Medicago truncatula: one gene and its partner. The protein of the gene in region 2 interacts with the protein of the main gene of each other region in a pairwise test. Links are inferred from orthologs where the notes say so. Each region holds a gene or a part of one and is shown on either strand. Other genes may lie near its edges. The genes, in order: chromatin structure-remodeling complex protein SYD and protein UNIFOLIATA.

Region 1 (16,423 bases), on a different chromosome or scaffold from region 2:
CACTCTCAAATGGCTTATTAAACCATTGAGAAAAGTCCTCCGATGAATTGAATATGTTAGGCAACAAGAAGTTAAGTAGTGCCCATAGTTCTTCAAGGTTGTTCTGCACATAAAGAAACCAGCAGTTACAGACTGTAAATGTTACCAAAAAAAGGACAAAAGTGAAACAAAGGGCATTATAAGAGCCTGAAAGGAAGGCTGAGCAGAAACTGTGTCATTCCCAAGAAAAAGCACAAGCATATGTTTTAAGAAGATTTTATTAAAAAAAATGAAATGGTACGAGCAGAAATGCTAAGTAAACTGCAATAAGAGCCACAAGAAAAGAAAACAAAAGAACAAAAAAGAAAAACCTGCAATGGTGTTCCAGTTAGCAGCAATCTGTGAGAGCTCTGGTAGTGTTTCAAGTCAGCATTCAACTTGCAAGAAGCATTCTTTATTCGGTGGCCTTCATCAATTATTATATAGTGCCAATGTACTTTGCTCAGCTTTGGTCTATCATGCTTGTTCATCAGATATTCATACGTTGTCAAAAGAACATTGAATTTGTGGTGAACAATCCTTTCCCTAGAATATGAAAGAATCAATAAGGAACATACACAAGACAAAGTATCAAACAGATGAAGGGGGTCAATATCTTAAAGTCCAATTACTTGAATAACCGGCGTCTCTCCTCTGGCGGTCCAGCATAGACAATTTTATGAATACTAGGAGCCCAAAAGTTTATCTCTGACTCCCAACCGGGTAGAACTGAAGAGGGTACAACAACAAGGAATGGTCCTCTATCATTTTTGGTTTCCATCAGGTAGCAAATTAGAGAAATCACCTACAAAATAAAAAGGACAGTAAGATTTTATCTATACAAATCACAAATGTTCTTCTGATCTTTCTAGTACAAAATATGCACCGATTTTTAGCATGTACACATGCACTGTAACACAATCATAGAACTCCGAAAAATGGACGGGGTCTATAGTAAATGACATGCTAACAAAAATGCTAGTATTGGAAAGAGGACAAAAAAAAAACAAATAGGAACCCACTTAAGTATATATAAAATCTAATCAGTTAACATAATTGATTACCTGAACTGTTTTACCCAGACCCATTTCATCCGCAAGGATTCCATTCAAATGATTGTTGTATAGCGAAACCAACCACCTCAGACCATTCATTTGATATCTACAGACAAAATTAAAATCACAAGGAGTAAGAGAATAAAAACTTAGATCTTCAATGGAAGATACAAATAGATGTTGAGTAAATCATATGAAAATAAAAACAGTTTTCACATACTCTCTTAATTTTCCGCCATGCAGAATAGATGGCTGCTCTGCAATGCTCTCCTTTACACTGCAGGAAGGAAAAAAATTGCTTAGCATGAATCAGGTCATAAAAAATATTCAACATAGTATGAGTATGAATTTCAATAATATATTTATGGATTGATGGAACCAATAGACCATGACCAACTCAACACTTTAAATCTTTGAAACTAAAAAAAACCACCAAAACTCCTCAATCTCCGGTGCTTTTCATCCTTTCATTAATAATAAAAGTTCAATATAGCTACCTATCAGTACCAAAAAACATAAGAGCAGAACTGATACCTGTGGGCCATCTTATAATACTTCTCGTTACTTTCCATGTAATGCTGTGAAACAGAATTTGAAAAAATCACCGACATATTTAAGAAATAAGACTTCAACTTAATATTGGGATGTGTGTGGCAAACTTGCCTTAGCCTGATCACTTTCATCCTCGTCTACCAAAGTAGTTTCACTATTCTCAAGAAAATTGGTACTTCCTCCCTCATCAACGTCCTGCCCTGAACGTTCTGCAGCAGCCTTTGCTTCCTGTAGCTTAGACCCAAGCTTTTGAAGGTACTTTTCAGTCGCTTTAAGGAGTTGCTTCACACGATCTGATTTTGCATCCTTATGTGGCAATGAAGACATAATTCAATGTTAAGAATGCAAACTTCAATGCATGTCATGTATCTATTAATATAATAAGAAAATAAACCTACCTGCACCATACGAAGATAACCTTCCACGTCGTTTATTTTTAGCAAATTAATCTTCTCCCGCTGGATTCTATCAATTTTTTCACGATGAATACGTTCCTTTCTTTTATGGAATTCCTTCACATATCTATTGACACCCTTCCACCGTTCTCTCTTGATTTTGAATACATCATCAAGTTTTTCCCTAAATTTCAAGTAATAATGCAAGTATTTGAGGCAAAGAGTGCAGATAATAGTGAATAATGGTTATCCAAATACAATTTGTTAGATGATGTTATTGATAATAGTAATAGAACAGAAACTCAACTTCTAAAAGTGTATTATAGGAAAAGGTTAGGATAATTATGAGTTAATTTCTGTTAGTTATCCTTATATTTGTGTGTTAGTTGTTTTGTGTTTTCTGTTGGGAGTCAGTTAATGGGGATATTTAGGAATGGTTAGTTATCCCAGGATTTAGGAGTTAGTTGCTTTAGATCTTTCCTCCCTTTCCTTTTGTACAGGATGTCCATACATAGATACTCCTATATAGGATGTCCATATAAGATTGTTGGCTTTGATTAGTTGACTGGAGAATTTCAGAAGTGTCAGGGGAGTATCTTCCTATGTAACTTTCTTTTTTTTCTATCAATAAATCTGCAGGGATGAACAATCCCCTTTCCTCTATTTTGTTCTTTCATAGAACCCTAACACAATGCATTAGAAAAATTAAAGAGATGGAAAAAGCATGTAGAAAAAGGTAAATAAGGAACATACTTGTGAACTTCTATCTCAGTGAAAAACTCCTTCTGCCTCTCACGAATCCGTTTCTGCCGCTCTTCCTTCATTTTCAGCTCATACCTTTCAAGTTGTTTGACTCTCCTACCATGCCTGTTTTTCTTAAATGATTTCAAATGTTCCAACTCAGATGTAACTGGTTTGAAGAAATCGTTCAGAAAATCACTGCCCACAAAGGAAAAATATAATGTCAAACTGTGAGTTGAACAAAATAACAAATTCATTCATATAAAAATACACATTACCTCCGAAGTCGACGTTGAAGATCTAATAGTTGAAGTTTTTTCAACTCTATGACACTTTTTGTCTTAGCAGAAATATCTTCGCATGAGCTCACATTTTCCTAGATCACAAGGAATGAACAACAGACCAACAATGTTTATGCAACATCCAATTATTGCCAACCATATATTGAATGTGCACGGAGAATATATTAAGGGCTTAATAGCAGTTTTAACCCCCTAACTTTCCCAAGTTGCGATTTTGGCCCCCTAAGAAAAAAAACTACAAAACCGCCCCCTAAGGCCCCCCTTGTGGCAGTTTTGGCCCCCAAGGCCAATTTTGACTTGGTCTACGCTGACGTGGCACCCTAAGCGAGGTGCCACATGTTATTTTTTTTAGCCTTGGGGGGCCAAAACTACAACAGTTGCAAAACTTAAGGGGCGGTTTTGTAGTTTTTTTTCTTAGGGGGCCAAAATCGCAACTTTGTGAAAGTTGGGGGTGAAAACTGCTATTAAGTTACAATAAAAAGGCAAACCTTTAACTTGTGAAAACATGTTGTCATTCTTTCCTTTGCTTTCTGCTGTTTTTGCATCCAATTTTGCTGAACTAGAAGCCTCTTTTTCTGCTGATCCATAATCCATCTCTCTGACATTGTAAATTTTTTAGATGGCAAATCAGCTGATGCTAACTTATCATTTCCTCCTTGCTCTGTAGCAAAAAATATGTCATTTTTAGATACATAATCAACTGGAACTGTTTTGATAAATCAGCCAGTAATTGCTCTTAACATTCAGGAATCCATGTATCATTAACACTTGAAGTGACACAGAAAAGTTAAGCGTCAACAAACTGATTGTAATGATATGACATAATTGATCCTCTTCAACAACAAAAAAACATGACATAATTGACAATGGCTTTCACCTGCAGAAACATTTTTGCCCAATACATTTCCATTCATCGTGGTTACTCCTCCGTGGTGATTGCTATCAATCCCTGGAACAGGTTTCCAGTGCTCTTTCAAAGAATAAGAAGTCAAGTGATTAACAGAATTGGGATTCCAGGAACCACGACTGTTGACAACACTCTGAAAGTGAGTAGGAATATTCTCTCTTCTTTCTATAGGTAACTCATGTTGAGAAGTAGAGACCTGTGGAGGTCCCTTTGAAGCCTCGCTAGGACCAGCAAATCCAGTCCAGTTATTAGGGCCTACAACAGAAGGTTGGTTAGCTCTTCCAGCCGTCAAGATACCATTGTCACTATCATCCAAATTACTGTTACCAACTACAATACCCCTTGAACTTGAAGAATCTTTCTGCTGATATGGAGTAGCTGAAGAAGATTGTGCAGCGACTCTTTCTTGGATTCGTCTCTCAACATCTCTTTTTGCGGCAAGATGTTTGCTGTCTTCTGAAGGTGTCTGGATGTCAGAATGAAGGTTACCTTTGTCTTCTAACAATCTTGTGCCATCAGTTCCCTTCATAAAAGATTCAGCCTCTAAAAATTTTCCAGCAGAGGACCCTGAAGGATTTTTATCAGTCGGTCTTAGATTGCTCGAACTTCCAAATGGCATTATGACACCTGGCATGTTACCAGGCTCACTAAAAGACTGTGATTTTCCTTTGGGGTCATTTGAATCTTTATTAGAACCATCTGTATTAACATCACATTGCATATACCAGTTAGCCGGTGAAGATCTTTGATAATGTTAAGTAAAATATAAATATCAGTCACCTTCTCTAGCAAAAAAGGTTCCAAATGCAACTTCAAGATGTAGTTTCTTTGGCGGTAAACCATTTCTGCACATAGAACAATAATGTTTCATATAAAGCTCAACATAAAATTCTGTCCATTTTTTCAAATAAAAAAGATAGCAGAACAATATCTACCTAAAAGCTAGAAAAACAAGGCACTGAGCTCGAAGTTGTTTTAACTGGTTTTCTTTGAAAGGCATAGTAGATGATGCAGCAGGAACTGGGGATTTTCCTGTATCTCTAGGGGGAACACCTTGTCTAAGCATAGTCATTTCTGAGCCACTATTTTGCCTGCCAATCTGCCAATAAAATTATCTGATCAACCAATCATATACAAGCTACATAATAAAAGAGAGCAACAGAAGTAAATAAGTTTCAACTAAATTACATGAGTATATCAAGATGAAAAAGTAGAGCTACAAGACAAATCCAGAAGCATATAGTAATGAGTAACAAGTACCTGAGATATTTGATGCCCATCAGCTAAAGTATTTGAACTCCCCCCATCACGATTAAGAGGAACACCATATTGCATGGAACTTGAGAAAACTGGTTCGTTCATTGCAGACACATTAGCAGGAACCACCATCCCTCCATGAACCCTAGCATATGCACCTGAAATTCAAAGCATTCTTTCTATGAATATTCGTGGGTACAAAATTCAAAATTATAGTTTTTTCTAGTAAAATTGATTCTATCATTCTCCCCATTATTTAACATTAGTAGAAATATCCATATGTAAAAAGAGAAGTATCTCACAGCATTAAAAAATAACTTCAGAACAGAACTGAGGCATATGACAATCAAATGATTAAGGAACAGCCATGATTGGTATAAGAACCCGGGGTAAAATAATCTCCACTCGGATAAATTATTCAATTCTATTGACTATATTTAATTCATAAACTCTTCTACAATGTTTTCTCTCAAATTTCACCAATCAAATAGTAGGACTTGGCATTTAGGTATAAATATTCTAGATAGTCATCAGTTCTCAAACAAAAGTGCATAGTCGATTGATCAAGTTGCATCATGAATAATACTTGAAATTTTCCCTTACTAGTATAAATATTTTTTAAAAGGTTATCTATCTTTATTTTGATTCATGCACCTCTAATTACATGTGTAAAAGTTAAGAACCACCTTGCTGCTTCCCAGGAGCAATATGAGCAGAGGAAACTTCCAAGTCTTCTGGATACTTTGAATTTGGAGCCCGCCCCGTTGGATTGCCAATATTTGTCGAATCAGTTTGCTTTGCCAATAAATGATGACCTTCTGGGTTTGCCCTAAGCATTGTTTTCATGTTTCCAGAAAAAGTTGAAATATTCTCCATTTGACTGTTATTTGGAACCACGCTAAAGTTTGTCATTTCACCACTTTTAGCTGGAATACCATCTGATGGTTCAGTCTTGGTCATTTTCCCCTTCCTTGTATTAACACCAGTGTTGCGAGGTTCTACTAGAGAAGAACTGTCAACATGCATTTCCACAGGTGATGTGGAATCACCCCTCTTTCTTTTTGTGTTACCTTTCTTACCATCCTTTTGATTCGCCTGTTTGTCCCAAATGACAGTATCACGTTTATCTTGTGACAGTGAGTTAGCAGACCTAGAATCCAAACTAGATGGACTTTCTTGATCAAAAGATTGATTACTCCTCTGAGCTACAGATCCTTGATAATAATCAGGAGCTCCGCCAGTTGGGGCAATTGGTGGTCGACCAGAAGTAAAGGGTTCCATTTTGGGAGCCTCGCTTTCAGCCAAACTTGGTCTGGAATCTTTTGCACCACCCACTGCTTGTGAAGAAGATCCTGCATAAACCACAAATGGAAATTAAATCAACTGAAAAATTATCACAAATACTCTTCAAACAGTATTAAAACAAGCATAATTACCTATCTGCGGAACACCAGTCAAAGGAAGACGTGACGACTTCAGTGCTTCAATATCAAGGCCATGTTGGTTGATGACAGTCTCCATTGCCCTATTACAAGCAGCATTAAGTAAGAGGAAACAGTGATATGCACCAAACAGCATTAATTAAGAAAAACAAAATATGGTCTAATGCTAAGAATGATATGTATATGCTTCACTACAATCACCAACGCACTAAAAAAAAAATAAGTCCAGAAGATGATTTGACAATTAAGTTAATGATCCATTTGCTAAGCCAATCAATCAAATAAAGGTGTTCTCATGGAAGAAGCTGTCAGCTTCAAGCATATTATTCAAACTGAACTAAACAAATTCACAATCGTACTTTGTTTAGGAAGAGGCTCCCAAGCCTAACAAACATCCATCGCCATTGACCAGCTTGCACACAATGCAATTCAACAAACCTTTCCCATTATTATTCCATTTTCCATCACCCCGATAGTTGATATTTTAACTGTTGGGAAATGATAATTTCAGAAGTAACTGTGTGTCCTTATAAGGACAATATGCATAAGATTTTCAATTCTACTATCTTAGCTCACTACAAAAAGAGCCATAGGGCTAAATAATTGAATTCCTATATACGAACAAGTTTGAGTACTGAGTTTCAAATGTTTTACCTTGATATCACTTGATATGGCATTGAATGTTCCTTTCCGCTGGATTTCATATGTTGTAGTATCTGAAACACTCATCAAATCAATTGCAAGTAAGCCTAATTTTATAAGGGGTAAGAGAATAATTGAAGAAATTCATGGAAGAAGAAACAGCACACACCACATAGAGTTTAGTAGCCAACTTGACTGGCTCATCTTTAGAATCTTGAATAAGTTTATGCAGAAACTTGGCAGCCTCCAACTCGACATTCTGTGGAGATGCCATCTCATTTGTCCTGCACAAGCAAAGTATTGTGATACAAACTCCAAATCAACCGAAAAATTCAGGATAGTCTTCTTATAATTTGGGTTGGGCTTAACAAGTAACAACCCATGATCAGACCATATCTCATCCAATGTGAGAATCTTAACACACACCCTCAAACCCAGAACTGAACATTTGGAGTGTGACCCAAGTGGTTCGATAGCGGAAACCTAAAAGCAGGTGGTCCAACGGATCTTGGATAGGCTCTGATACCATCTTAGAATTTGGGTTGAGCCAAACTCAATCTTACAAAGACGGTTTTGTAAGGATGAGTTAGGCCCAACATAAAAACGGAATAAGTCTCAACTTGTAATCTTTGAACTAATAATGAGAACCAACTTATAATGATTGTATGACCAAACTCAACAAAAATGCACAACATAGTTCCAATACTGACACTAAGATAAACCAATAAATTTTATGCTACACTCCCAAACCAAAAAAAAAAAAAGGAAAACATTAATTAAGAATACATAACAAAACATGCAAGAAATTGTTTTTCCCAGCATCTGAGACATATATAACCATAATAAAGTGCTAACAACGTTCAATGTTCTACCTAGTACCCTGCCTTAAAGTTATCAAAAAACCAAGTAATGAATAAAACTACCCCAAAATCTAAAATTAGATAAATAGATGAACCCAATTTGTTCTTTCATAGTAAAAAAAAAAACCCAGAAAGAAAAACCCTGGCTTTAAACGAAAGTCCTAAAATAAGAAATCGTTGATTAACACTGTGAAACATGAAAAAATGACCTAAAACCTTGGTGAATATTAGCAAAATAGAAGAAATTAGAGCTGAGTCAGCTGAAATCGGCGAATCAAAACAAATTTGCAGAAAAATTGAAAAGTGGGTGAAATGGTAAATGAGAAAGAGGGGAGAGTCTCAAAATCTGATTGAGAGAAAAAGGGAGTGAGAAAGAATTACCGGATCAGAGATGAAAGAGACGAGTCTCAAAATCTGGTTTCAGGTTCAGCTGCTCACGGTGTGTGAAGAAGAAGAAGAAGAAAATGAAACCAAAAACGGGTTTTTGTTATTTTTGGCGTAATAAATAAAAAATAAAAACCAAACACAGCGCAAAGTTTCGCACGAGTGCAAGCTCTTTTCGTGTGAACGGCTTACGTTACGTTCATTAAGCTTGTGAAAAATTGAAATGGTATGAAACTCTCCATTTTAATTACCAAACTATATAAAAAATTAAAATGCAATAATTGAAGTTTATGATATTGATTTTCCAGAAAGACTATAATAATAATTTGAAGTTTCTTTGAAGAAATTAAAGTCTTATCAATAATTGTTTTATTCGACACTTAGAATTAGGTTCTACTTAACAAATTGTTTTCTGTTTAAGCTCAATAATTGATTTTGTTGGACTTGAGATCATTGAGTTGATGTCGTTGAATGACCTTTTAGTACCTACTTCCGTCAATTGCGGTCTTCTTCTTTGTCGTTTGCAAGCTTCTTCTCCTGATGAATGAGGGTGGTGTACCTCCATGTGCTCCAACACTCAAGGTGGCGTGGGACGATAAGTGTACATGTGAAAAGTGAATCTAACTGAACTCGGGCATATAAGCAAAATATTTATAGTGGAGGTTTAAGGACTTGGTCCTTGTACCTTTACGTGGACAATTGTTCTAGAAGGACAATCATGGTCCTTTGAGAGACAACTGCAAGTGTTTGGTTCCTAGTAGATTGGTGTCGTGAATCTTACTGGGTGTTCATATTTGGTCTCGTGGACTTTTGTGCCTTTGACCTTTTTAACTATTCTCTTTTGGTTCTCTTTGTTCCCATGTCAAGGCCATGTGGACTCCTTTCGTGAGGAGCCCTTTGGAACATATGTGTACTTGAACGTCGGCCGATACCAAGATAATAATCATTTGAACTCAATAACTTGATTAAACTCTATTTCCTTTTTGAAAATGTAAAACCAAGTAATAAAAAAAAACGAAGAACAAACTAATGCAGGAGAAGAAACATGATATGGGGGTAAAGGAAAATCATGACAAGGTATCAATGAACATAAGTATTGAGTATGTGGTATTTATATCGTTAAATCCACTAAACAAATTAGAGTTATGGTCGGATTCATTCATGTATTATGGTAATAATTATAAGTTAAATGTGTACAAAAAAAAAATTATAAGTTAAATCTAATTAAATACCCAAAACCATCCTAAAAGACTAGTTCAAGCTAGTTAGCTGATAAAAGCAGTCTTTGAAGATTAAGTTTACGAAATTATGACTTATACAACATAAACTCAACTCAATTGCATTCAACTACCGAATACATGTTTCGTCAATTTTATTTACTTAGGATTAATGAGTCAAAACTAATTAATGTCAAATTTGAACTTATATGGTAGCATTATCAATAAAAAAATATATTCATTTACGACAATCTTTAAAAAAAAAGTTAAAGACGGATACAAATTTCCGTCAAATTTTGGTCCCTCTAAACCTTATTCATTTTCTTTCATAATTGTATTTAGAGGACCTAAAAATGGAGAGTCACCAATCAAATCCGACTTAATGGAGTTTCATAAATCTGACTTAAATTCGTACCTTGTGATCTAAAAATAAATTTTTTTTAGGTCAGCCTTATTCTTTTTTGTTTTTGTTTACATAGGCCAACCTTATTCGTTTAGGAGTTACCAATCAAATCTAATTAATATCATGGCTTGACTTATACAAATGTACTTTCAAAAGCGTCTCAAAATTTTTTAATTTTTAAGTTAAATTTAATGTAATCCGCTTAAACATAATGGTTGAAGAAGGAAAGACTAACATTTTTTAAACCAACATAAGGCTGAATATCAATTAATTACCCTGATTATTGTTTAAGCCAACTATATTTTTTTTTAGGATATTTTTTTGTCAGGTAATCCAGTGGCTAAAATTCGCCAAGATAAATAAGTGAAGAGTCCGCGATTCGAACCCGGATCACCTGCATATAACAATGCATGTCTCTAGATATGCTCACGATGATTATTTATTTTTGGGATTTTAAGCCTTTATTTTTTGGATTTTAAGCCAACTATATCGTTCATTATTGTTTAAGCCAAGTGTATTGTTGCACCTGTATTAAACCGCAACGTATATTTCTATCTAAACTTTGTGAATTGGCCGTAAATATGCTTCATATTTCTCTTTGAAATCCTTCCTCTTTAACAAATATTGTATAGAACACGCCATCGTTTAATTTTTCTCTGTATTGGGTATGCATCAAACTCACCCTTCATAGCTGCATGGCAGCCGGAGTCGGTGGTGGAGCCACGCCTCAATTTTTTACATTAGCACCTAAAATCCTATTATATGTCCACTTTGAATCCCCTGTTTTTTTTTTTGTTTTGTACCATTGGTTTTGATTTTTGAACTTTCTGATTTAATTCAAATGCATCGACGATGTGAATATATTTTACACCCGCGGTTATTTAATTTACAATTGCTTGATTAATGTCATTGTAATATTAATGTTATTGTAATTTTAATTTTAATGTCATTGTAATTTTATTTTTTTCACAAGTTAAAATGATATATATTAATAACACTGGTGAAGCACCTGCACAAGACGTGCAAAAGTGAATCACCGGTCAATATTTACATAAACAAAGAGCCACACACTGAAAGGCTCCCCAAAAAACTATCAAAATAAATTAATGGTGAAGAACACTCGTATAAAGGAGAGGATGTGTCGAACAATCATAATAACAATAATTAAAAGGGATGTTCCTTGCTTTCATCCACACAAAAGAATTTAACTTGATTTTCTCAAACAGAACATACGGATGTGATGCTTCATTTTGGAATATATGCTCGTTTCTGTCTTTCCATATCACCCAGACACAAGCATACTATATACCTTGCAAATAAGAATGAGTACTACGCGGTAGTCCCGCTATGTAACAAAACTGAAAATGATGGTCACGTAAGTCATAAGGGATTACCGTATGCAAGCTTAACCAAGTGAACATATAAGACCACAACGTAGATGATGTACCGCATGATAAAAATAAGTGGCGGGCTGTTTCTAAAGTCTCACAACCGGCCACACACGTAGAACCTGTATTCCTCCATAGCAAATTGTCTTGAGTCGGAAGGCGATTGCGAAGAAGGCGCCACGCAAACATAGATACATTTGTCGGTATGTGCCGATGCCAGACATTGTATCAAGTGCTAAAGTGATAAGCCTCCCGCACCGAATATCCGTGAATGGTATCAAGTGCCCATCTCCATGAATCAGTAACATTAACCTGTAAAACAAAGTTATGTAATAATAATGAACACTCCCTCACACTCTCCTCCTCCCATACTAGCAAACGACGTCTCCAAGCCCACCCTCTTCCTCCTTCGCCCCACCCATCTCTCTCCACCTCAGCCACTGCACACTCCTTATTTATAGCCAAATCAAAAAGTCGAGGAAATTTGAGTCGCAAAGGCGAATCCCCGACCCAATGATCGAACCAAAATGAGGTACTACGACCATCTCCCACAACCCGTCGAATGTTACCTTCAAACCAATTTCCCACTCCCTCACCAACTCTCTCACGAACATTACATAACATCCTCCACCAAGACGAGCCTAACCTGCCACCTCCTTCAAACGACCACCCTCCTCACCATAACGTGCTTTTAAAACACGGTACTATAACCCCTCTTTATCCACCAACATCCGCTAACACCATTCCCCAACAAGGACAAATTAAACTCTCCCAACCTCCTAACCCCCAACCCTCCACATCCTCCTTTGGAACACAAATAGATTCCCATTTTATCCATGCTATTTTCCTAGTATCCTCACCCCCACCCCACCAAAAAAAACTTTTAAAAATAGATTCTATAGAAGAATTTTTATTATATTTGTGACTTTAACTCAACAAACCATATTTATCTTTTTCAATGACTGCAAAAATATAATAAAAGAGAAATGATATTTGTACAACCATTTATGACAATCTTTTGACAACTTTCTCTCTTATACTCACATTAGACTCTTATTCTCTCTCTTCCTCTTTCTCTCTCCATTGTTTTTGACCAATAAAAAGAGAGAGAAAAGAAGTTGTCACATAAGTTGTTCAAATATCACTACACATAATAAAAATTCTTATCTTTTTTTTAAAAACACCAACAATATAGCTTATTATAAAAAAAAAACGTTTAAAAGTATAATTGGAATAATAAAAAAGCCAGCTCAAAATCCTATCAAAATGTGCTATTTTCTTTATATATAGTATAGAAGAGTATTATTACGGTTAAATATGTTGTCGGTCGCTCTAAATATGCAAAACTTGTTTTAAGCTCTTTTAGCTCTACTTATGTTAATATAGTATTAGCATGGAAATGAAATGAAATTATGATTTATACGAAAACTCCACACCTCGTATTTTGATCACAAGTATTATCCTTTTTGTATATTGGGAACTTTATAGTTATATATTAATGAATAGAAATCATAGAAATCAATGCACCTTTTTTTCATGTATTTTACATGCACGCAAGTTTTAAACAAAATTACACAATTCGTCAATTAATTTAATTTCAAGTAACATTTTCGTTTTCTTTACACACAAAAAAGTATCACTTTCGTCTTCTATCTTCTTCTTTTTTTCCCAGTTAATCATTTATATTATAATAAGGTAATACTTATGTCCTTTATTTTATTTTTTTCCTAATTTAATCATTTATGTTATAAAATATCAACATTGTTATTAAAAAGTATATGAATCAAAAACTCGAAAGAAAAAAAAACTTATAAAAAAATTCATCTAACTCATAAATAAACTCAAATCTTCATCATACAAACATAGAAATTTATATTTCATTGAAAAAACCCCATAAAAAATCATAGAATATTGACATTTTATAACATAAATTATTAAATTGGAAGAAAAAAAATGACGAAAGTGTTTCCAAAAATTAAGTTAGGGGATAAATTGTGTAATTTTGTCCAAGTTTTAATACATTTTTTTGTTAATATATCTTAGCCGTATCGTATCCTAAATTTTTAAAAACTTATATATTCATGTATATGTTTCGTATCGTACTCGCATCTGTACTACGTATTCAAACTTCATAGGGTGAAACTCGTAAAGATCATAAGGTGTTATTTATTTTCATGGACAATGTGTGATTTTTCCACCTGCTATGAGTAAGTGGTGCTCCAGGTTTGGCTTGATATTCTCTCCATCGCGGTATTTTCTGTTTCCTTTATCCACTGTGCATCATTTGCTTGAAACATGCCCCTTGCGAACGGCCACTTTCATTAATGGTGCTATAAACATGACACACGAATAAAGTGATAATAATTTGTCAAGTTCCACTTACTTTGATTGTTTTGAACACTCCCACAACCTTTGTAAACATTTATAAAACTGAGAAAGACTTGCTTATCTCGCACTCGATGATTTTCTAAATAAGTAATAGGAATCACAAGGTATGTTTTTGAACGAAGAAAGTACAAAACTATAATTTAGTAAATGTTATATTGGTTATTTTATGTCATTAAAATAGTTCTTACTGAACCAAATTTTTGTTGGACCAATAATGTTGCCCTAAATATGTGGGCAAGCCGCGTAACAAATATATAATTTATAAAAGTCTAAATATAATAATACTAGCATTAATACTTGCCCTACCTTATATAAATAGTTTTCACTTCACCAAATTCTTGTTGGACCATCCCACATGCTGCCGTAATTTTTCCTTAATTAACTACAACAACTCTATATTTTAATATGAGGGATTAGGGGTGGACAACGGTCGGTATTCGGTTGAGAAATGAAATTCCGTTCATAACCACGGTTGCTATACATGCATCCATTTTCGTCCGTATGAGAAGTCGGTTTGCTCGAATTCGGTTATTTTGGGTTACAGGTAGTTTCGGGCGGTTTTTAGGTTCCATAAGTATCTCTAAATCTCCACAAACAAAAATAGAAAGAAACAAAAGTAAATAAAAAAATAAGATTAAAACAAAGGAAGATGCATGACTTCAAAAATGCTCACAATAGAAATGATAGTGAAGTAGTTGAAGGTTTAGAGCAAAGTTCTAGCATGCAAGAGTATATATGAATTGACACATCAAGACATTGGGAGGTTACCAAAGGTTGTGAGGTTGGGGTTTTGTTGTAGAGAAAAAGAAGGAACTAAAAAAGAAGGTTGGTGTTGTGAGTCTGCGAGAGAGGGAGAAGAAAGAGGAAGAGTGGGTGAGGGTGACAGTGAGGTGTGGTGAGATGGAGTATTGAAGTGGTCTGCCTAAGAATACTTATTATTTTATTCAACCAAGTAAAAAATGATTTAAAAAAACTAGTGGATGTACAAAAGTATAGAAAGATGGGACTGCAAAGGTGGAGTGTGTCAGTAATATTGTGTGGATACTAGAAAAAAAAATATAGGGAAAAAGCACTTGCTAGTCTGCTAGACTACCGCTCTACTGTGATTTATCTATTCAAGAAACTATGCAGCGGTGGGATATGGGTTATTATGGTTTGATTTCACCAAACTGAAACCGACTGAAATAAGCCACACATATCCGTTTCTGTCAATCCGAATAAACCGATTGACCCGCTTAAACCGACCCGCCTACTTGCGGGTTATTCGAAACGGGCGGTTTGGGCGGTTTCCATAAATCTTGTCCAACCCTATGAGGGATCATACACCTAATAAAATAAATATAATGAATGGTGGAATAAAATTTCTTCCTCTCTGAAGATATAAGGAAATTATAGTAGGAAACAGAGGCACGAGGCACTGTAGAAGATTAAACCCTCCGCGTAATAGACATCATATCGAGCCTCAAAGGCCTTGAAGAAGAATGGAAGAAAAAGCTTTGTAATAGAGGAGCACATAAAACACTTAAACAGATAGATTTCATTTCATAGTTGATGAGAGCCACAGATTCTACATAAATAAAACTAGTAATGCAATAATTCTATGAGTTCAGAAAAGATTTAACAGTTTCTTGAAGAGTAATCAAACTGAAATTCCTAAGATAAAATTAAAAAACCCCTCACACAAAAATATAAAAACCCTAAAATGCATGTGTGTCTTTGTTCTAGGTGCACTCTTGCTTTCAAGAAGATTATCAATCATGTATGCTGCTTCTTGGACGGTGGTAATGGACTGGGCACTTTCTTCTTCAACACTAATACCAAATTCCTCCTCAAGTCCCATTACAATCTCAACCTACAGGAAATTTAACAAGTCTAAATAAGTTTAAAAAAAAACTATAAAAGATAAATAACAGAGGCTATGTTATCATTTTTCTCAAATGTAGAATCATGCTGAAGTTTCCGCTTAGGCAACTTAAGTGGTTCAAGAGGCAAGAAGGGACTCAAAATACATTTTAATTACAATTTTCCAAGTAGATTAAAAACCATAATGTCCAAATGATATTCTAAATAGAGAAGGGAATAAAATTAAATTAGTCAACAATGTTATATGTGTATGCATTTGCCACAACAATATACTAAAGGATAGTTAATAGCCTAGAAAAAGATGTTATTCAAAATTGGCAGCAAAAGTGCATAAAAACGCCATAACTGTCTTCTGGTTTTAAACATGAAACAAACAGATAGAATGAAATAACAACCTAATGAGAAATGGATTGAGTATTTCTGACAAGTGAAAACTAATCACCAAAAACAACAAGATAGCATTAGAGCTCAGAAACCAAGAAGTACATTACCACACACGTAGATAAGGTAATAAAATAAAAATAGATACAATACAATCAAGTGTTGTGAATTGTGAATGCATGAGTTACACTTTTATGCATAGACAAGAATTCATAGACAAAATTTGTG
Region 2 (15,910 bases):
GTTAACAAAATTTTAGAAAGCCGCAATGCGAACAATGAAAATGACAACGTGAATGACAAGAGCATATTGTTTCTTCTCGCTGAAACAGAACGTTCTAACATACATATGTTTTTAGTTTCTCAGAAATCAACCAACACATATGCAATTAAATACACGACATTCTAATAACATACATATATTTTTAATTTTCAAGAAATCATTATAGAAAAATCTATAATTCAGAACTGATTTTCAAAACAAATCTGGAGAGAAACTAGCGGAACATTTTATAACATTTTAAATCTCCAAAAGACCTTATATTCCAACGAAATTAGATATACGACTCAAATCAGTTTACTCTATTAATTCCGTTAAAGAGAATTCCAAACAATTCAAGAACAGCATGTGACATGCGACAGAATATCAAAAGCACCCTCATATCTTTTTCACTTTTTGACACTAGAATTTACCATGTTATTTATGTATGCGTCATTTTTAATGGAATTGTTGTTATTAAACTCATTTCATGTGTTGTTGATTTATGAGAAGCTAAAAACATATGTATGTTAGAATGTTCTCTTTCAACAATCATGAAGAATATGTTCTTGCTGCTTGTGTAGCCAATTTCATTGTTCACATTGCTATTCTTCAAACCAGAAAAGATAATGGAAAATTAACAGTGTTAATAGATAAGGGAGATGTTTGTCTATTTCATAAAAACTTAAGGGAGGTTCATGTAAGATTTAAAACTAAAGGGGGTGTCATTGACATTTTAATAAACCTCAGAGGAGGTGAGTGTAATTTTCCCTTTTTTTTTATGCGTCAAGACATTAATGATGGATCTACAGGTATAAATAGAGCATTTGAAGCCTAATATGGAAGAAACACGTCTCTCTTGAAAATGGACTGGGCCTTAAATAGTAAATAGAAGAATTTTGTTAAGAATTCTGCTCTTCTCCTGCACTTTTCGCTCGCGCTCTGCAGCCTTGCTCAAAATACCCCTACGTTAGTTAACTAACGCCACGCAACTTAACTCACGTTGGAATTAACACTTGCGTGAGTTAACTCACGCAGGAATTTACAATAGAATTTCTGCATAAATATTTTTCCATTTGAATTCACGCAGTGATTACTGATTCCAAATTCCAGTTTCTTTTTTTTTTTTTTGAAGAAAAGATGTTTATAGCATTTCATTAATAATAATAGGTTCAATACATAATGAGATTGCATAATAAATAATGGGACTAGCTAGGGAAGTGGCTTCTCTTGCTAAAGCATGAGCCGCCGAATTCGCTTGTCGCCTAATAAACTCTATCCAGAAGTTTGTAAAGGAGGTTGAAAAAAATCTCTCAACACGCGTCAATAATATTTCCAAATTCTGCAACGTCGACCGTACGGAAGTAAAAAACATCTCGAGTGATTTTTGAATCAAGTTCAAAGTCTATATTATCAAAATCCAGTTTCTTATTGTTATCCTTTTATTCCAATTTAGTTGCTTCCTCTTTATTCATGTATGTCCTGATTGTTGCGCTTTTCACTTCAATCCCAATTATGAATTGTTATTATCACCACCGGTGTCGTAATATACCGTGCAAGGCTTGACTTTTTGAATTGAATTTCCATTGATAGAAATTAATTAGGGTAAATATATCGTTTCGTCCCTGTAATATTAGCGAATTTCGGTTTTAGTTCCTGTAAAAAAAAGATTTAGATTTAGTCCCTATAATTTCATATTCTTCCACTTTTGGTCCCTCATTCCACCACGTAAGCAGAATCTGCATACATGGCATGTAAAATGAGGGATCAAAAGTGGAGGAATATGAAATTACAGGGAACAAAAGTGGGAGGAATCTGAAATTACAAGGACGTAATTTATACAGATTCTGTTGACGTGATGAAAGGAGGGACAAAAAGTGGAAGAATCTGAAATTACAGGGACAAAATCTAAATCTTTTATTTTATAGGGACTGAAACCGGAATTTGCTAATATTACGGGGACGAAAAGAGATATTTACCCAATTAATTATGGGTCGTTCCAACCCCTTGTTATTGCTGTGCATATAAACTGATGTAGCTGTTCTTTTGGAAATTGTAAACTAGCGTGATTTAAGTCACGCATGTGTAAAAATTAAGTCATGTATAGTTTTACACTTCCGTTAGTTAACTAATGCAAGGGCATTTTCAGCAACATTGCAGGGCGCGAGTGTTTTGTGCTGGGGAGAGCAGAAATCTTTTGTTCTTCTCCCAGCACGTTTTTCTCTCCAAACTTTCAAAAATGCCCCTGCGTGAGTTAACTCACGCTAGTGTTAATCTCTACGTGAGTTAACTCAAGCGGGTGTTTTTTCATGTTTAACTCCTACGCGAGTTAATTCAAGCAAACGTGATGGGAGAAGAGCAGAATTCTAAATAGAATTGTATCGAGTCCTTCAGTTTTGCTCAAAAGCTTTTTGATTTATCATCATATCATAAATATTCTATTAATTAGATCATAACTTTCAATTAGATCTTTTTCCATTAGATAATAACTTTCGATCAATTTATTATTATAACATTAAAGTTCAACGTAACATTATTATTATTTTCTTAATAACACTCTTAAAATATTTATCATATAGAGAAAAAAATTTATAGAACGAGATAACTAATAGATAAGAGTGTTATACAAAAAAAGGCAAATATATATGTAAGATCTAATACAATTAACAAAATTGAATTGTTTGTTTTGACACTTTCACTTAAATTTAAATCTAAGTCCTTACAGTTACGTGTAAGTTTCAAGTGGTGTTTATCACTTCATCTACAAATAAAAATTAAAAGAAGTAATTCTATCGAAAGTAACAAAATTTCTTGATATTATTGGTATGTAAAAATAATCTTAAAACAACAACTAAATAGATGGAGTAACAATCATTGTATGTAGATATATAAGCTTAACTTATTTCGTGATTCATATGGCGAAAATCTATCATGATTTTTTTTATATGCTAACAACACATCTTTTAATATATATTTCTAACACTATTAATTGGTTAAAGTTTATATGGATCTTATCAAACTATATCAATTTCGTATAAATTTTAGTAAGGTCAACAAAGATTTTAACAAATAAAAGAGAGTATATTAAAAAGGCTAAAATATGGTTTTGGTCTCTGCAAATATGCCTCGTTTTGGTTTTAGTCCCTGTAAAAAAAAATTGTTGTTTTTGGTCCCTGCAAAATATTATTTTTTTGGAAATAGTCCCTGCAGGGACTATTTCCAAAAACAAAATATTTTGCAGGGATCTTTTACAAAATCAAAAGATTTTGCAGGGACTATTTATCTAATAAATGGTTCAGTCATCATGTGCCACGTGTGCAAATTATCACAAAAGTGGAGCCAGGGACCAAAACCAAAATGAGACATATTTGTAGGGACCAAAAACAACAAATTTTTTTTGCAGGAACTAAAACCAAAACGAGGCATATTTGCAGGGACCAAAACCATATTTTAGCCTATTAAAAATGAGTTAACATTATTCACCAATTTATAAAATGATATGGAGAATTTTGATAACTAAAGATTTAGGTCTAAGGTGTTGCTAGAAATGTATGGGCAAGGTATATATAGGTAAAAAGTCAAATTTATCTTCTGTTAGAACCATGGACGGATGTATGGTCCATTCATATAATATTATTATAACGAACTATTAGGCTTTGTTTGGATAGTATAAAATCAGTGGAGTGGGATGGAACGGAATGGAACGGAGCGGAATAGAATGAAATAAATTTCCCATTCCATCATTTGGATGTTTTATAATGGAATGAGACAAAGTTCCCCTTCCATCGTTTGGAAAATTAAACGGAATGGAATACTTATAATTTTTAATTACTTTATTACCCTCAATTGTAAAAACAACATTATGTAAAATTGAAACATATTCTAAACTTATAAACGCCATTATTAAAGGTGATTATTAATTAATTAATAGTGAATTTTATTTTAAAAATTGTCATTATAATCAAATAAGCAATTGTTTGACGAATTAAAAAACAAAGATTTTGATTGAATTATTATTAAACTTCTAATATTTAGATTGTAAAGTTCAGTGCTGTAAAGTTCATAAATTTTTTCTTTTGCCATGATGAACTCATAAGTTTAATTTGGTGCAACAAATTAACATGATTGTGTAGTGTGCAAAAACAAACCAATTGAACAAGTTATGTGTATCCAAAGTAAATTAGCACAGCCATGGAACTGTGACAAGTTACATGCGGCAAAATAATTGTAAAGAGAATATTTATTTACACATTGTGAAAACAGATTACTGCGTGTCGCAGATTTTCAAATTAGCAAAGTAGGAATATGCAAGTGGAGATAAAATTATGATGCATGTACACGAGGTTACGCGGAAGAGAAGATGACACAAACAAGAAAGGAGAAAGAACACAACTAGCTAGGTAATGGTGGTGAGTGATATTAAAAGAAGAGGGTATGTAAGTCATTTTAAAATTTAATGGAGTGGTTCCATCCCATACCTCTCGATTTGGGGGGAATGAAAATTGAGAGAAATAATGGAATAGGATGGAATACATCCCACCATGTTCAATTCCATTCCATCTTTATTTTCAAATCCAAGCAATGGAATGGTACATTCTTTAGGTGAAATTTAGAATGGGAAAGGCTAATTTTTCCCACCATGGGAAAGTTAGTTTTTAACCATTAGATCAAACCAAGAACACATCCTTACCATACTCCCTCATCACTAGATTTTTTAATTTTATTATTTTAAAACTATTTTTTAAAAACAAAAAAAATATTTCAAAATTAAAATAAACATTTAAAAATAAAAAATAAACTTAATTTTGGAAATTAATTTTCCAATTTTTTTTTTGAGCAAGTTTTTTTCAAAAAACTTAATTAAATCTTCGAAAATCATAATTAAAATTTTTGAAAACAAGTTTATTTCAAAAAAATTATTTATATTTTTTAAAATTTTGGAAAATTAATTTCCATATTTTTAAATTAATTTTTTATTTTTATATGTTTATTTTAATTTCGAAATATATTTTTTGTTTTTAAAAAATGGTTTTAAAATAATAAAATTACAAAATCTAGTGATGAGGGAGTATGGTAAGGATGTGTTCTTGATTTGATCTAATGGTTAAAAACTAACTTTCCCATAGTGGGAAAAATTAGCCTTTCCCATGCTAAACTTCACTCATTCTTTAATCTCATTCCATACCATTCCATCCCATACCACCAATCCAAACATAGTCTTAAACTTCTGTTTATATATTATTGAGAAGAGTTGTGTTATTTGAACATCCATATATACCAAAATTTTACAAAGGAAATGAGGTAGTGGCACAAAAACCAAATCAATAGAGAGAGAAAGTAAAAAGATAATGTGAATGAGAGAAAAAGTTGTCAAAAAAATTGTAAAAAAATGGTTGTTAAAATATCATTTCTCTATTGAGAATTACTATTTCTCTCCAATTTTTATTAAGTTTTTACCTTTGTGCTTATTTGTATTAACATCAAAAAATTAATTATATTTTTTTAATATGCTAGAAATTAGGGTTATGACAAAGTTCATCTAGTTAATATTTACATGTTGTAATTGCGTGAAAGCTTAAAAAAATTACCGCAGAGAATCAATTTGTAACCCAAGCAAGCAAATTATTTATGAGGTGCATAAAGAAACCTTATATTAATTTTTTCCTTCAATAATAACTAAGAAAAGTCCTCTAGCTAAAATGAGATTACTACATTCCAGTCGATATATATGAGGAAGGTTCTACATTTCCACTTGTACTACACAAATAATAATCCTAGAAATAACACATACATCGATGATCCATCCATTCCTGATCATCAAAGTACAGAAAGATGCATGCGAGCGTGATAGAATTTGAAGTCTAACTTAAAAAGGAAGGTGAGCAGTTCCAACAGAGACGGAGCTTGAAGCAGCAGCACTGTTCCTCTCAGCATGACAAAGCTGACGAAGTTTTGTTGGCACATACCATATTGAAAGACGAGGATGTGCGTTGAATATTGCATCAATATCCCATCCTTGACGTGCAGCTATTGCTACAAGTGGCTTGTAACATGCTTGTCTCCATGCACCAACATTCTCTCCTCTTTCCTTAAACCCTCTTCTAAGCTCATTTGATACCTCTTCATCTAAACAATGCAATGCATAACAGTGCACGTAGTGTCTCATTTTTGGCTTGTTTATGTAGCTTGCTCCAGCTTTCTTTGCATACCTAAATACCTGATTTGTCACCTACACTCACTCAAAGTTATTAATCATGTATCATTTATTTATTTATTATAAGTAGACCCCATATACACAACGTAGTATCAAAATTTCATGGATATGTATTTTGATTATGAGGGTAAGCTAAGATCCGGATAATAAAATGCATGCATTATTTTGTTATGGTTCTAGTTTGTGACCGGAAAATAAATAAATGAATAAATACAAACAAAGTGTACGGAACGGAGATATATGATCATATGAAAATCCCAGTTGAATGGGAAGTTGTGATGGGACCCATTAGGAGAGTCCCTGAGTCGTCACGTGTTCGGATGAACGTGTCACGGCAAGAAAGTACTGTTCAAACGGTTCGTGAAGGAACTATACACTACTACACAACACAGGAATCTGACTGGTTTCAAGTCAGAGTCAGATTCAGAAGAAGATAGATCCACATAGATATGACGAGAAAGTACAACAAATTCAATTAAAATATATATGAAAAATGTTGTTCGGGCATGGTATAGTATACCTTGGTAGGGCATTTCTCACCGCGTTCCTTAGCAATTGCTTGAACCTGAATCAAGAACTCACGACATTGTTCATAGAGATGAAAAAGATAATCTAGACCGTTCTTTTTGCCACGTGCAACTTCCCCAGGCTCTGTCACAATGAATGGATGTTCTCTTTGTCTCTCACCGCCACCACTGATGTTATCTTCTTCCTCCTCGTCTCCTTCTTCATTCTCACCATGATCACCATTTCCCTTCATCTTCATCCTTCTCCTCCTTATTTGCTGCCTCTTTCTCCTCTCCTCCACCACAGCTACCTCCCAAGTACTCCCTCCTCCGCTTCCCACCGCCTCCTTCTCTCGCTGCACCACCGGCTCCTCCGACAAACCTAAGCATATTAATTATATATAGTTGACATTTGAGAATTGAATATTCTATAAGGCTGTCATGTCACAAATTATTTGTGATTAGTTACTACTTGATTATATTTGTTACCACAGGATCAATGTATAAGTGATCATGCATTCAATGTAATTATCAATTTCATAACGTCAATTCTAAAATAATTTTTTCTATCATTGTACCGTTTTTTCAACATAATACATCTTTTAATCGTTCATTTTCATATACAAAGGAAAAAAAAGTGAGGTTCATATTATAAATTTGTAATATCATAGTTGACTTTAATAATATATTAGAACAGTATTTTAATATAACAGTAGAATAATTTGAGTCAATTATTATAAATGACTGTGCACCTTCTTGAGAGAGAGCATCGAGAGCGTTGGTGGTATCGCCGGAAAGAAGACCCCGGCGTTTAATTTCCTCTTCATCAAGGCGTCTCCGTTCAGCTCTAATGGCAGCTTTGATGCCGTAACGCTCTCCAACAAGAAGATCCCAACGAAAAATCTGGGAAAGGCTGTTCATCATGTCATCAAGCTCATCATCCTTCATGTCCACCAGCGTGCTCACTGTAAAACCAAGCTCTGCTATCTTCGCCGCCGTGTAGTATCTGATTCCATAAGCTTGGAAAAGTTCCTCCAAACCTCCAAGTTCTCTTGGTAATCTCGCTGGATAATAAGGTGATGGAGCAGTTGATGGGGTGACTGCGTAGTCGAGAAGTTGGGGACGGAGAGGTGGAGCTGTTGGTAGGACGGTACGTGGGTCCCACTTGAATAGGCTGGCGGTGAATGCGTCGGGATCCATGGTAAGCAATGAAACTGTTTTAACTTCTTTGTGTATGTTTGTTAGGTTTTGGAAAATTATGAGAAGTGGAAGATTTATGGTACTGTTTAGGTGGAGATATAGAAAACGTAAAGGTGGTGAGGGTGTGGTTAAATTTACTGTGGAGAAAGAAAGATAACGTGATTTTCCAAAACTACCCTTTGTTTGACATGGTTTTTCCAAAACTATAAGGAAATAGTGTTATTCCCAAGACTGGTTAGGGCTTGTTGGAGACTTCCTTTTGTTGTGTGTGAGACTAAGAACTGTATTTGATTTGAAACTGGAATGCCTCAAAACAAACCGAACTAATTTAACTGGCTATAGATAGACGTGGTTACCCATAATAATATCCGACCAGATGGGGTCAGTTGTGTTGTGTTGTGTGTATATGGTTTGACCTCTGATTTGACTTGACTGTTATTTTTTTTTTTGTGCTTGCTCTTATGTGTCATATGCATGCTTGTGTGTTGTACAAAGTATGAATTGATGCTTTGGGTTGTCGTAAAAGCCTATATATATTAGCCTACTTAAACAACAACAACAACAAATTAATTAAATGAAGAATACTAGGGTTTTTTAGGGTTATTTAGTTCAAATGTTCAATCATTATGATTATATTTAGGGTAGGGCGGCAAATAATAAGGAAAAGTTGGTAAGGTCCTGGTCAGTGAAAGGCATGCATGTAAGTTTGTAACCCGAAAAACAACAAGCTACTTTTCCTTATTGCCTATTATTATGATTTAATGTAACTAGTGATCAATCCAAACAATTAAAGGTAAATTATTAAATTTGATTATTAATTATTTTTGGTGAGAATTACAATGAAGAAAGGTAGATGGCAGAGGATTCACGAGTGATTCTTGTGTCTGATACTGTAGTGGTGAGTTACGGAATCAGAGAAAATCTCACTGAGGTTTTTAGCTGTTTGTAATACAGAAGAGAGACTAGCTCGTTAAGGAAACAGACAAAAAAAGGACGTAAAAACAGTAAAAACATTAATGGGGAAACAATGATAGTAAAGAATGGGGTTACTATTTACTATTTCATGAGTGACGAGATGTGAAGCAGAAGCAGTGATGCAGGGATCAAAGTACGTACAGCTGCAAGGGTTGCAGGTTGTTCCAGTTGGTCTTAAAGCAAACACTGTAAAGTTGAAAAAAAAAGGCTGATTAATTCATGATGTGTGTGTACTTTCGAAGACCATTGCTTCCAATTTCCAACCCATGCCAACACATGAGCTACCATAAACCATTAATAGAGGTGAAGTGAGGTGGAGGGTGCATGGTGTCACCTCGCTGGTTACCATATATGAAGCACAAGATACAAACAATGACACGTCGATATTGTTAATAACTTGATTTTTTTTTATAATTCAATGGAATTATATGTGTCAATGTCAGATACAATGGAGTGTTTATAGTGTAGTTTAGATTAGGTTTAGAAGAACAATCTCATCCAACATTATACTTGGTTTGATTCAATCCAATTATACGTATCTCAATGATTTGAGGAAGTAGGCATAGAAGAGCGAGTGTCAAAAACTACTTGATCCTCAATGGAAGACTTATTGATTAAAGATGAATGATATTTTGACAATCAATTTTAAATGATTTTGGGTAACAACATTTTTCCTCCCTTCTAATTGGACAATAACAATATATATATATATATATAGAGAGAGAGAGAGAGAGAGAGATGAAGAGAGAGAATAAAGTATCAAAGAGAGTTGTCACCAATGATCATATATGTGTCAATTGTGTGGATATGTCAAGCTTTTGATTGCTGTCGGTTAATTTCAATAAGTATCCTTCTCACTCTTTCTATCTCTCTCCAACTTGCATTTTTCTAAGCAAAGTAAATCAAGGGCAAGAAACAGAAATTCAACTGTTCTTAGACCATGTCCAATGGTGTTGAGTTGAAAGCAACCTTCAACAAGTGGAAGTGCTCCAATGGTATGTTGAATGATGATGTGGAGGAGAGAGATGTTGAATGCATTCAACATGTTGAATAGGAGAATGGTGGGCCAAGTTGAAGATGATGTGGCGCAAAACAAGTGGTTTGTAGGGAGAGTGCACTACACACGCCTGACAGGTGCGCTGGTCTTTCTCCAAAAATAAATTGTTAAGTGTTTTTTTAATTTAATTATAATCGATAATTGTAATTATGTAATTATAAAAACAAAATATAAAATTAAATAAGAAATAAAAAGTGGTGGAGTAAAGTGTTGAATGAAAAACCATTGCTGAGGGTAAAAGTTGAATGAATGTTAAATAAGAGAGATGATTGTTGGGAATTGAAAAAGTGGGTGTTGAATGAAAAAACTATTGTACATGGTTTAGATAAAACTATTGTACATGGTTTAGATGTGTGATTCTACTCAATTATGATCCATTCAGTGGCGGAGCCAGGAATATAGTAAAGCCCGGGCAAAAAAAAATTTGCAACACATTTATAGGGCGTACATAAGAAATTGCAAGCAAATAATAAAAAATGTAAAGAAATTGCCCAATTTATAAGGGGTTTATATAAGAAATTCATAGGGATTTACACAAGAAATTGCAAAAAATTTGGCCCGGAGCCCGAGCGAGTACCCGGGGTCGCCGGGCCTTAGAACCGCCCCTAGATCCATTATTTCTACCTCATGTTTGGTACACCATTTTTGAGATCTTGTCTATTGTAATTCTTATGTGATCCCTACTCTCTAGCTCGGATTTTAACCTTAAAATGTCTCACTAGATTAAAGAAAGTATGTTTAGAAGGTATTCTAACCCTTGATTCCTAATTCTCATTCAAGGGACCTGATTATTGGACTCTTCGTATCTATTCATTATGTTCAACTGTATATAGGTAATGAATAGAGATCACATGCACTGTTAGGAAATTCTTGTTTTCTATTTTGAGATCACATGCACTGTTAGTAAATTCTCGTTTTCTATTTTAATTTTGGATATCATATTTGTACAATTATATTGGTCGAGGAAGATGACAAACCACAACTGTACATGTAAAATTCAATTGTCAATGTTATTCCTCAAAAGTCAATTATTTATTGCAATGGATATGAGACATGTTTACTTAGCCTAGGTCGATAATCTGACATGATATCTGTACTGAAGAGAAAATTGGTGTTTATTAGTTCCATTTTTAGAAAGATCGAAGTTGATTATGATATGTTTGGTTGTTGTCGAGTAGAATCGATTTTGTTTTTATAATTGCTTCTGGTCGTAGTCAAGATTTGTAGCTTTTAATTGCACAATTAATTTTCACACACAAATATATAATTCACTTTTACATATGTATCCAAATACAAATCATTTTAGTCAAAATGATTTCTAACCAAAATCAATTTTACCAAAATTAATTCTTCCCACCGCCGCACAACCAAACGCAAACATAAAATGACCTAAATTGTTAGTCTAGAATGAATGACAGTCGAGTTAAGGGTTAGCTTATATTCAGATAACTAAATAGTGATATGTCGAGCTAGCGACCATAGATTACGGGTTAGTTAAATCTTTCTTAAGGCAAAAGAGTTTCACCAAAGTTGTGGAGGTGTCATAATTCGTCTAAAATACTTGGAATAGACAATTTGACCCAAACTTGTGTTCTATGACAAAACATGACAAATATGACAAAATGTGGGCCATCATCTAGACGCAACAACATTAAAAAACTTATGCGTTATTTGCAAATTTATCCGACTTTTTTAATAACAAATGTTAATATGATAATTATTAGGTGGCATTTAGGGTGGGTGAGGGAAAGAGTTTCCTACCATGGGAAAATTTGATTTTGACTATTAGATCAAATTAAGAACATATTCTTATCATGGTCTGTCCACATCATAACTTTTCTCATTTTGTCTTTAACCTCCGTCATCCACCCTTTCTTCCACCACCCTTCACTCTTCTACCGCAACTCACCCACCACCACGGATTCATGTTACCCCAACCTCACTGGATTTGTGTTCTACATAGCGTGATCCTCTACTGTTCTACTTCATCTTGCATTATGGCTATCTTGACCGGAGAGCCACCACACACCACGACAGATAAGTTTCCGGCCACCGCTTCCGGTCGTGATGTCTCTTTTTTTTACTAATAATAAGAAATTTTAATTTAGTTTGACTCTGTTGCTGAATATGCCTTACAACTAGCTTTTGATTTTTGTTTTTATTTGTTTGTTGTCTTGTTGATTATTCCTCTATAGTTTAGTTTGAGATTGTAATTAGTAATTGTTGTTTTTGGCCTTTGAGGAATGTTATACAAAGAACAAAAGAAAATTGAAGCAGGAACCAAAGAACAACCTTAGATCTCATAAAAGAAAATTGAACAAAATGTTTCGGCCAACTTTAGATCTCCTTTGAGGAATTTTTTGAGTTTCTTTTTAAAGTATTTTGTACTTTTTTTATAATGTGTATATGTGTTTCTATATTTTGAATACCTGCAATTGTTTTACGACCTCTACCATAAATTCTAAAGTGCATGGAAGAATGTTCTTAAATGGGTTGAGTGAAATTGCTCCAAGTGGTGGTGGGTGAAAGAGATACGGAGGAGAGTAAAAATAATCATGTATTGAATGTCTATGATAAGGATATGTTCTTTATCTAATCTAATGGTTCAAAAGAACTTTCCTATGGTAGGAAACTCTTGCCCTCAACCACCCTAAATGCCACCTAATTATTATGTTAGTTTTTTCTTCTCACGGACTCGCAACATTCTGAGCATGTCTTTGTTGGCAACACAATCACGTGCTTTGTCATATATTCTATAAATACCACTTGTCAATTTTGTTTTAGACTCACTCAAACTATCGGTTTTACTTGCATTTACCCAACTTCCTTTTCATTTTGCTTCATAGCTTAGTTCTTAAAAATCTCAACTTTCGTACTTAATTAACACTCTTAAGAGAAATTATGAAGCTCACACCCAAATGACCCAATGGACAAAGTTCTTTCCTTTTTGTAAAGAAAAATGAATCATTGTTAAGAGCTATTAGATTATTTCTTGATTAACTTTCAATTTCACTAAAAGATGGTTTCATCCTCTTAAAGAAAAGATGTTTCATATAACTAATGATCTCCGATTAAACTGTAATTAGGTTTAATTTTAATCCCACATTTTATCACCCATTTTTTTTTTTGAGGAATCACTTACCTGAATATGTTTAGTTTGGTCTATGGTTTGGTTTCTTTTAAAATTTTGATGTGTACGAAATTCAATGTCCTCTAAAGCTAATTATATAAAGCAAGAATTTGATAGAGTTTTTTTCTTTATGGTTAATAATAAAATTTTATTTTAATGTTAAGTTTCTTATTTTCTGAGATACAAAGTATTTTCTTAAAAATATTGTAGTTGGTTTTATTCAATATTTCATTTTAAAATGAGGATAAATAGGATTGGATGGAGTACAATACATCGTCTTTGTCAACTGAATTAAACTCATACGGAGAATTCATTTAACATAGATGAACATGTTTTTTGACAAATACTGGACACCATGAGCAAATAAGTAATTTTGACTTTAAAACATAGGGACAACTTTGGCATTCCATTCCTATCTTCCTCTCCTTCTCTGCTCTCTTCGACCCCTCTCTTCATCTTTTTCTCCATTCCACCACCACCGGAACTTCTTCCTCACCCTTCTTCTCCAAATTCTTCCGTGTTCACTCCAACTTCTTAACGTGTTGACTCCGACCACCTCCCATAACTTCTTCTTCTCGTTTTCCGGCCAAATATCCATTGCCTTTCAGATTTGTACTCTTGCACCACTTTCACATCGCCGAAGCAATCGGGATCGGAGTTTATTGATTCTCCTTTATTCGGGCCGGACTCAGACCCTGGTCCTTCTCACATAGTGATTCGTTCAATAACAACATATGGGTTGTCTCCCTCACGCCGTCAGAGAACGACAACGATGAGAAAGAGGCCGTCGGCGAGTGATAGAGAACAGTGGAATATGGTATTAGTGTTGTATTTGTGTTTGTTTATCATTTATGTTAATTTAATCTTTATTGTGACATTATTGATCATATATACTAAAGTTAATTTATTTAATCTTTGTAATTCTTTATTAACTTTTCCTTTATCCCACATGTAAGTTTGACACACTTGTTTATTTTACATTCATTAAAAAATGACTATAAATGGAAATTTTATCAAATTGAAAAAGAGTAATTGATTTACATTGAAGATAAAAACTTCGTCCATTAACTAATTTCAAGCAACACTTTCGTCCTTTAATTTTTTATTTAATCATTTATTTTATAAATATGTAACATTTTCTTCTTTTATCTTTTTCATTTTCCAATTAAGTCCTTTATGCTATTTGTTATCCTTTGTTTTATGAAAAAAAAATCATTATTAGAACTTTTAAAAGATTCATCAAACTCATAAACAAACTCGAATCTTCATCATACAAACATAGAAACTCAAATTTCATTGAAAAATTCTATAAAAATGAATAACAATGTTGGTATTTTATAACATAAATGATTAAAATTGAAAAAGAAAAAGAAAAAGGGCGAAAGTGTAACCTTATTATAACATAAAAGATGAAATCAGAAAGAAAGAAAGAAAAAAGAAGATAAAGACGAAATTGTTGCTCAAAAGTAAGTGAAGGGACAAATTGTTTAATTTTGTCTAAAAACAAAAACAAAAACAAAAAATCGACATTGAGTTTGAAACAATTGCAACACAATGAAAGAGTGAGATAAACTACAAATTTAGGGCCTGAGGCCCTTATTTTACCTGCTTGGGATGGCCTGTAGTAGATTTGCATATTGGATTCATTGAATCAGCCGAATAATGTATGAAAATTGTTCTTTAAACATCTAACAATTGCTAACTAACAACTTAAATTTTTAAAAACGGCACCAATGATAGTTAACTATCGTTGCCTTCTGAACTGTTCAGATGTTGTCATATACATATTATTGTTTGCTTGGTTTTTCAGCTTTTCCGAATATAATTCCATCAGAATGAGAGTTAAGTACCGTTCATGAGCGAACAATAATTATGTACAGTTTGGGGCATTTTGCTAGCTTCTGATGAGCAATTGTTAGGTGACTCTAAAGATCAATTTCCATAATGTATATGTAAAATTATTAAACACATCATCTAATCTAATAGTATATAACGTCCGTAAAAAAAAAAAAAAAAAAAAAAAAAAACTAGTCTATATCATGGTTCTTTCAACAACAAAAAAAAAAAAAAAAATATTCTCCATGGTATACTTATGGACTGTGGTTGAACGGAAGCAAATTCATCATGTCTCAAGAAACAGAATGCATCTGGAACTTTGGCGGGAATATAAAATTATTGATTTTTGTGTCTAAAGAGTAAAAAAAAATAATTAATCAACATATATAAAATAGAATACATTCTTTAAAAAAAAGATAGAATACATAATTTCTGTGACAAAAAAAAAAAGAATTAGAATATAGAAGGATATGATGATGAGAGATCGGATAATTGTAGGATATGATGATTAGAATATAGTTGAAGTTTTTTTTTTAAATGGCAAAATATGTACACAAAGAAGAAACTTGAAAACACCGAAAAATTGTACAACAACAAGGCTTTAAGTTATCAAAAACGGGAAAAGGCAAGAGCTCAGACAAGGTCCCCCTCGAACATCAATAAGACACACGCACTACCGCTACCAAAAAAGAGAATGACAGACATATAATGAGGTTTCTTGGATAGACCAGAGACATAGTTGCATACCAGATCAATAATAACTGAGACTCCCTAAAGACACAAAGTCCTAGAGCAATCTCACCGAATAGCAAAACAATATGACTGACTTAATTTATAAGATATAAAAAAAGTTGATTTAGATAAGATATAATTGCTTCTATCTTTTATCTTGACTATGACATAAACCATAACGTTACTTAATTTAAAAGGATAATCGTATTTGATTGAATGTACAATTTTTCTATTCTATATGGTGT

What was found.
Region 1: the proteins of protein UNIFOLIATA (region 2) and chromatin structure-remodeling complex protein SYD interact in binary tests that used the Arabidopsis thaliana proteins (3 or more experiments, as listed by UniProt). The link is inferred for Medicago truncatula from reciprocal best matches to the Arabidopsis thaliana genes LFY and SYD.

What each region holds. Positions count from the first base shown.
Region 1 is NC_053045.1:57,321,902-57,338,324, forward strand, and holds the start of chromatin structure-remodeling complex protein SYD, read right to left. Parts: upstream 8,709-16,423; 5' UTR 8,553-8,708; intron 7,596-8,552; 5' UTR 7,586-7,595; coding exon 7,481-7,585; intron 7,386-7,480; coding exon 7,324-7,385; intron 6,753-7,323; coding exon 6,664-6,752; intron 6,580-6,663; coding exon 5,914-6,579; intron 5,386-5,913; coding exon 5,231-5,385; intron 5,070-5,230; coding exon 4,906-5,069; intron 4,816-4,905; coding exon 4,751-4,815; intron 4,670-4,750; coding exon 3,941-4,669; intron 3,725-3,940; coding exon 3,552-3,724; intron 3,138-3,551; coding exon 3,040-3,137; intron 2,960-3,039; coding exon 2,774-2,959; intron 2,205-2,773; coding exon 2,024-2,204; intron 1,932-2,023; coding exon 1,737-1,931; intron 1,652-1,736; coding exon 1,608-1,651; intron 1,351-1,607; coding exon 1,294-1,350; intron 1,180-1,293; coding exon 1,083-1,179; intron 824-1,082; coding exon 651-823; intron 565-650; coding exon 351-564; intron 104-350; and 1 more. UniProt on the Arabidopsis thaliana protein: Catalytic component of the chromatin structure-remodeling complex (RSC), which is involved in transcription regulation and nucleosome positioning.
Region 2 is NC_053044.1:48,434,941-48,450,850, reverse strand, and holds protein UNIFOLIATA, read right to left. Parts: upstream 8,306-15,910; 5' UTR 7,936-8,305; coding exon 7,488-7,935; intron 7,118-7,487; coding exon 6,750-7,117; intron 6,245-6,749; coding exon 5,882-6,244; 3' UTR 5,707-5,881; downstream 1-5,706. UniProt on the Arabidopsis thaliana protein: Probable transcription factor that promotes early floral meristem identity in synergy with APETALA1.